Canis lupus familiaris: one gene and its partner. The protein of the gene in region 2 binds, or shares a complex with, the protein of the main gene of each other region. Links are inferred from orthologs where the notes say so. Each region holds a gene or a part of one and is shown on either strand. Other genes may lie near its edges.

Region 1 (3,648 bases), on a different chromosome or scaffold from region 2:
TTCCCTCCTTATTCCATTAGGTTTGGAAGTATTTTACATTCAGGGGTGTAAAATGTACACCATGTACTTGATTTATGTCATCAATAGGTTTTACGTATTTCAATACTGAAAATCTTATTACCACATAAGGAATACAATGTTAACTCAGAAGCCCCACCATGTGATACAGAGGCGGGCAGCTGTAGGATACCCGGCTCTCCTACCTGTGCCTGTACTTTCTTATTGAAGTAGAGACCACTTCCCCTGAGTAGCTGGTTTGGGTTTTGTTGGTTCTTGCCTGGAGGAAATACAGTTGTTTTTCCTCAGTCTTAGGTTAGATTAAGAAAAACCTCCTCCTTTTGAAGCAGTTTGAAGCTGGATAACACAATGTCGGTGTTAATGGATTTTATTTTTAACCTCCCAACAGAGCAGCATTTTGCAGATGTTGTACTTAGTGAGGAATTTCTCAATCTCGGCATCGAACAAGTGTGCAGCTTAATCTCAAGTGACAAACTTACCATTTCCTCAGAAGAGAAGGTAAGTATGTTTTTCTTTCTGGTATATAGTGACGGAGTACTTTTCCTTTTTTTTTTTTTTTTTAAGATTTTATTTATTTATTCATGAGAGACACAGAGAGGCAGAGACACAGGCAGAGGGAGAAGCAGGCTCCCTGTGGGGAGCCCGATGCAGAACTCGATCCCAGGACCCTGGGATCACACCCTGAACCGAAGCCAGAGGCTCAACCCACTGGGCCACCCAGGCATCCCTACTTTTCCCTTCTTTATTTCACTTTGTTTTGTAACTTTGTAACCCTCTATGTGTAGCAACAGCCAGTGATCTTTGATCTGGAAGTTATTACAGACTCAACTAGTTGACTTGTTGATTGTGCAGATTAGTTTCTTCAGGCCACAGGAAATGCCCTGAATTGCTAGATGTTAGAGTCTTGCACTCAACCCCCACACCAAGAACCAGCACACCTTAAACTGAGCCAAGTCCTTTTGGGTGCTGGGTTGCTTCCCACAGTTAGATGCCTCTAAAAATTATGACCTAAATGCCATATTTCTCAAACCAGAGTAGTTTCACCATTATGTGAGTGGGAAGAAATTATCAGGGATAACAAAGTAATAGCTTGTTCTAGACTGAGCATTCCTTTTTTTTTTTTTTTTTTAAAGATTTTATTTATTTGAGAGAGTGTACAGCAGTGGGGGAGGGGCAGAGGAAGAGGGGAAAGCAGACTCCCAGCTGAGCAGGGAGCCCGATGCGAGCCGGGCCTCCATCCCAGGACACCACAATCGGGACCTGAGCCAGAATGAGGAGTTGGCTGCTTAACCAACTGGGCCACTCAGACACCCCACCTGTACCTTTCATATTGGTGGAGAAAGAATCTTCTGTTAGTGACTTTTATTCTTTGGGTGGGTGTTATATTCAGGAATTGGGGCACACAAGCTTGTGAACACACTGAATTTGGAGAAAGTGAAACTGTTTTTTTCTTTGTGTGCTTTGCATTTAAGGTTGTATGACCTGTAGCTTTATTCCTCAAAGTTATCCATCCTGCCTGGGCATAAAAAGACACATTTACTATTATATTTACCATATGAAAAAAAAGATGTGAAGAGTGGTTGTTAGATATGTCATCTAGTGCTTGAGAAATATAGAGAGGAGGAAAAGACATTGCTTTGCTATTCATATTTAACAGACACGTATTGAGTGCCTAATGTGGACCAGACGCTGTCACAGAGTCACAGCTACGGAAATGTTAACAAAATAGAAATCTTTACTCCATAGGTTAAAGGGACAACCATTGGGATGAATAAATAATTACGGAATGCTGTAGAGGGTATCGTAGGAACATTTCATCATTCCTGGGATGGGGATGCTGTTAGCCTGGCTCAAGTTCTAAAAAAGTATATGAGTTTGCCCGGGAAGTCAGGATGAGTGGGCGTGGGAAGGGCATGCCAGGTAGGGGTAGAGTATGTGAATGTAAAAAGGGTGTGAAAGGAATCATTGCATTAAGTTGGTTCAATATGTTTAGAGTCTAGGATATATATGTTTGACAGAGCGGTAGGAGATAGATGGGAAGATGGCATAAAATGTCTTCTCAGCTGTCTTAAAGAACCTTGACTTCATCCTCGTGATGAAGAAGATTCTTTAAAGGGTTTTAAGTGGTAGGAGAATGCTGTGGTAATACCCACATAATAGAAGTGGCATGAAAGCTGTCCGGATTTCCTACTGCTGCACAACAAGACACCCCAAAGTGTATGTAGTGACACAAAACAATAGCCGCTTTATTATACTCACCATTCTGTGGGCAGAATTCACTCAGGGCACGTTGGGACAGCCTGTCTCTGCTCTGTAGTGTCTGGGCTTCAGCTGGCTTGGCTTGAATGTCCAGAGAGACCAGCAATGTCTAGAGATGACCAACACATTGGGACAGCTTATCTCTGCTCTGTAGCGTCTGGGCTTCAGCTGGGTTGCCGTGAATGTCCAGATTAGCCATACTGGAACTTCAGTCGGTCTGCACATGGTGTCTTGTGGGTCCAGAAAATCCACATTGGCTCCCTTCATTCACTTGTCCAGCTCCTGGACTGCAGTTTGGTTGGTATCTCTTTCCACTTCTGTCCTCTAACCCTCTCCCCTTCCCTGCCCTTCCCTCTTTGGGGCTAGTTTGGGCTCCTCATAGCATGGTGATCTCAAGTAATCAGACTTCTTGCGTGACATCTGTCTTCCCCCAGATGAGCATTGTAAGAGACCCGAATGAAAACTGAAACGCTTCTTATCGACCAAGCTTAGGAAGTCACGCAGCACTTCTGCTGCATTTTTTAAATTTTTTATTTTTTTATTTTATTTTATTTTATTTTATTTTATTTTATTTTATTTTATTTTATTTTATTATTTATTTTATTTTATTTTATTTTATTTTATTTATTTATTTTATATTTTATTTTTTTGGTGACACAGGGCCAACTTAGAGTCCCTGTGGCAGGTTCACTGCATAAGGTGTGGATACTCAGAGATGTGGTTTATTAAGGGACCATTTTGGAGACCAGCCGTCAGTAGTGTGCTGACTGAACCCAAAGTGGGGCAAGGGTCAGATAGGAGGATGTTGAGGTCATACCAGTGAGCAGTAGGGTCTGACCTAGGATGGTGGAGACAGGTGGAGAAGAGAGAGTAGAGCTGAGAAATAGTAGACAAAATTGACAGGATCCTCTCTATTTCTAGCACCCAACACATACAGGTACTTTGTAGATACTTGGTGACTGAATGAATTAAAGAGGCATGTTAATTATAATGTAGATTTTTTTACTTTCATGCTCTATCCCAGCATCAACAGAAATATTTTTTTGTTCCTAATAATCCAACTACCTATTATCAGGCACTTTCCACAAGCCTTTAAAAATTACTGGATTATGTATTCATCAGTCTGGAAGGAAATTATATAGTCACGTACTGTCTTCATATTAGCTCATTAACGTTTTCATAGGTGTATGTTGTTAAGTTGTAATGCCCTTATTTTTTTTGTTTTTATTTTATTTTGTTTTTATTTTATTTTGTTTTTAATCTACTATTCAAAAATAGTAGATTTAATATATTTCATTGTGAGAAAAGAGAGTTCATCTATTCTGCAGACAATTAAGTAATTAACTAATTTTTTCTGCAGACACTTAACTT
Region 2 (3,640 bases):
GAGAAGCATCAGGCTTCAGGAACCCTCTTTAAAGCTTCTTCTTCTCCATCATGTCATTCACCTTGTGTCCAGGACAAAGACAAAATATCACTTGGCTCTTGGGCTTATCATCTTTCCTCTAGCCACACCAGTTTCTGAATGGTCCTCTGAAGAGGCCAGGTGCCTCTCCACTTCTGCCTCCATCTGCTCAGGGGTCTCTTGCTTCTCTACTAGGTTTCAAGCCCACTCAGATCCCACACAGCCAAAGCGACCCCTCCCCCTGACCATTGCCCTGTTTTCTCTCCCCACCATTCCACCATCCACTCCTCTGCAGCAGAATTATCCTGAGACTTGAATCAGCCCTTGCTTTCTGCCCCTACACAATTAATGGCTACCTGTGGTTACAGAGTAGGTCCCAGTTCTGGAGCATGGCCTTTGAAATTCCCCGCACTTCCAGCTCTGCTCTGGTCTTCACCGCTTTGTGAATATGCCATGTCCTTTCATGCCTCAGAGCTATCACTCATGCTGTTCTCTCAGCTCTTCTCTCCAAAAGGACAACATGGAATGGAGGAAAGGGTAGGCTTTCACATAAGATCTGAGTTCAGAGTTCCACTGTTACTCACTAATTTGGTGAACTGGAGCAACTTTTTTAACCCCTGTGAACCTCCGTTGCTTATCAGCAAAATGCAGATCATCATACCCATTTTGCAAAGATGTTCTTTAAAAAAAAAAAAAAAGATTTATTTATTGAGAGAGAGAGAGAGGCAGAGACACAGGCAGAGGGAGAAGCAGACTCCATGCAGGGAGCCCACCTCGGGACTCCATCCCGGGTCTCCAGGATCACACCCTGGGCCACAGGTACATAATTTATGAGAAGTTGTAGATATAGGAGAGATGAAATTATATGAGGAGTACCCACACGTGATAGGTTGCCACGCGGCATGATCCGATGAGAGACAAAATGATTGCTCAGAGTCCCCTATCTTAGAACAAAGAGAGGCCCGAAGAGGATCCACTGTCAAGCACCGCCGAGAAGGGCAGGTGCCGAGGTGAAGCCCTGAGTCCAGGTTGGCTGTCAGTTTTATTTAGTAGAATGTAAAGTATGTGGAAACAAGGGAGGAAAAACAAGAAAGCAATCCTGTGAGGGGCGTCAGGGAACTGTATCTGTGACCATCTGTACAGGTCTAAGGAAGCATTAACCAGGGGGCTTAAGGGGACAGAAGAACCGACCTCAAGAGGCCTGGCTATCTTATCCACCATCATTGCTGTTTTCAGCATGTACTGTTTTCAGTACAGACACATGGCAGGAATAATTGGCTCTTGCCACATGCATAGAGCTGTTGCCATTTATGCATGTCCCTATTCTTTTTTTTTTTTTTAAGATTTTATTTACTCATGAGAATACACTGAGAGGAGAGAGAGAGAGAGAGAGAGAGGCAGAGACACAGGCAGAGGGAGAAGCAGGCTCCATGCAGGGTGCCTGCATTTCCCTATTCTTATTGTTTCTTTGACCTGCTGAGGTCTTTTGCTCTCCCATGATAGGTCTTCAGTGAAGGGTTGCTTTCTTTCTTTCTTTTTTTAAAGATTTTATTTATTTATTCATGAGAGACACAGAGAGAGAGGCAGAGACACAGGCAGAGAGAGATGCAGGCTCCATGCAGGGAGCCCAGTGTGGGACTCAATCCCAGGACCCCAGGATCACGCCCTGAGCTGAAGGGAGGTGCTCAACCACTGAGCCACCTAGGTGTCCCTAGAAGGGTTGCTTTCTTACTCATCCTTCAAGGTTCAGCTCTGTGAAGCCATCCCAGCTTCCCTTATCCTCCTGGGTGACATGATCTGCTCTCTCTCTGGAATGGCATTTTAAAAAATTGTGGCAAAAAATACAGAACACAAAATTTACCGTAACCATTTTTAAATGCAGTTCAGCAGGGTTATGTGTATTCACATTGTTGTGAAACGGGTCTCCAGAACCTCTTCATTTTGCAAATCTGGTGAAACTGTACCATTAAGCGACTCTCCCTTTCTTCTAGCTGGTTTAGTATTTTATCTATACCTTGATCAGAATGCCTTTCTTACCATGCCTTTGCAATATATTATGTATATATGTGTCTCTTCGGCTAGATTTTGGGCTTCTTCAGGACCAGGATTTGTTTTATGCTTCTATGTATTCCTCACCTGGAACAGTGTACCTGGACCTAAAACAATGCCTGGCACATAGTATGTGCTCAAGTGTTTGTGAAATTGAATGATACATTTACTGTCTTTTGTCTTATTTGTACTGTGTGTGTGTGTGTGTGTGTGTGTGTGAGAGAGAGAGAGAGAGAGAGAGCACTTGGATAGTACACTTCATAAGAAGTGCAACTCCCTGCAAGAGCAGGAGTTGTGTCCAAAAGCATATGATGCAATAGTGGAAAGAGCTCAGGCTCTGGCTTTAGACAAATCTGGGTGCAAACCCTGTCATTTTTGGCAGACTGAACTCACTCTTTTTTGAGCAATTGGTTATCTTTTTTTTTTTTTTTAATTTTATTTATTTATTCATGAGACACACAGAGGGAGAGAGAGGCAGAGACACAGGCAGGGAGCCCGCTTCTTTCTCTGCCTGTGTCTCCACTTCTCTCTTTCTGTCTCTCATTAATAAATACATAAAATCTTAAAAACAAAACAAAACACACACACAAAAAAAAAAACGCTGAGCCACCAAGGGAGCCCTGCAATTGGTTATCTTAACTCTAAAATGGGAATGTTAGGGATCCCTGGGTGGCTCAACGGTTTGGCACCTGCCTTTGGCCCAGGGCGTGATCCTGGAGTCCTGGGATCGAGTCCCACGTCGGGCTCCTGGCATGGAGCCTGCTTCTCCCTCCTCCTGTGTCTCCCCCCGCCCCCCCCCCCCCACCATGTGTGTGTGTCTATCATGAAAAAATAAATAAATAAATAAATATTTAAAAAAATAAAATGGGAATGTTAGTACAGATGCTGGAGAGTCATTGTTGGCATTAAATGAGATAAGACATGTAAAACACCTGAGCTATAATGCATACTAGGAATGTTAGCTCCTGTCTTCTAAATTTATTTCTCCTTACACCATATGGTTTCTGGCACACAGTAGATACTTATTGAATACTTGTTTTAGGTTGGTGGTTGGCAGAGCAGTGGTGTAAAGGGTTGGCTTTGAAAGATCAGTGCAGCAGGGAGGGATGAGTGGGGATAACTGAGCCTTCTCTGCCCTTCCTGCTGACCCCTTGCCAGGTATATAACGAGTTCATTCTGCCCTCGGAGCGAGCTGGCTTCCTGAGCCGTATTCGGGAGATTATCCAGCGAGTGGAGACCCTATTGAAGAGAGATACTGGCCCTGTGGAGGCTGCTGAGGACCCCCTGGGCCCCCAGGTCAGACCCCTCAGGTCACTTCCACCTCTCTGCTCCAGATGTCATGATTCACTGCCTTCACCACTCCCCTTGGCTCTAACTCCTTCATCTCTGGGACCCCTAAGACAATGGCTTTACCCCATTTAAGAATCTGATGAAAGCCATGGGCCCTTGTTCTAGAAAATTGTGTTCAACACATACTTTTCTTTTTAACTCATTATTTTGATAGAATTTCAGACTTACAGAAGGAAGTTGCAAGTTGTACTAAGAACTCCTAGATACCCTTTGCCCACATTTG

What was found. Proteins that work in one complex are often made in the same cells at the same time.
Region 1: the proteins of WNK4 (region 2) and KLHL2 are in contact, whole or in part, in a crystal structure (PDB 4CHB), measured with the Homo sapiens proteins. The link is inferred for Canis lupus familiaris from reciprocal best matches to the Homo sapiens genes WNK4 and KLHL2. Residues at the interface, in NP_115763.2 of Homo sapiens: Glu557, Pro558, Glu559, Glu560, Pro561, Glu562, Ala563, Asp564, Gln565; in NP_009177.3 of Homo sapiens: Arg345, Phe361, Gly363, Ser364, Leu365, Arg366, Thr392, Phe408, Gly410, Ser411, Thr412, Gly413, Ser438, Ser439, Tyr455, Ser487, His504, Arg534, Tyr583.

What each region holds. Positions count from the first base shown.
Region 1 is NC_049236.1:61,745,834-61,749,481, forward strand, and holds part of KLHL2 (kelch-like protein 2), read left to right. Parts: intron 1-406; coding exon 407-516; intron 517-1,176; exon of another isoform or gene 1,177-2,386; intron 2,387-3,648. UniProt on the Homo sapiens protein: Substrate-specific adapter of a BCR (BTB-CUL3-RBX1) E3 ubiquitin ligase complex that mediates the ubiquitination of target proteins, such as NPTXR, WNK1, WNK3 and WNK4, leading most often to their proteasomal degradation.
Region 2 is NC_049230.1:20,099,828-20,103,467, reverse strand, and holds part of WNK4 (serine/threonine-protein kinase WNK4), read left to right. Parts: intron 1-3,225; coding exon 3,226-3,363; intron 3,364-3,640. UniProt on the Homo sapiens protein: Serine/threonine-protein kinase component of the WNK4-SPAK/OSR1 kinase cascade, which acts as a key regulator of ion transport in the distal nephron and blood pressure.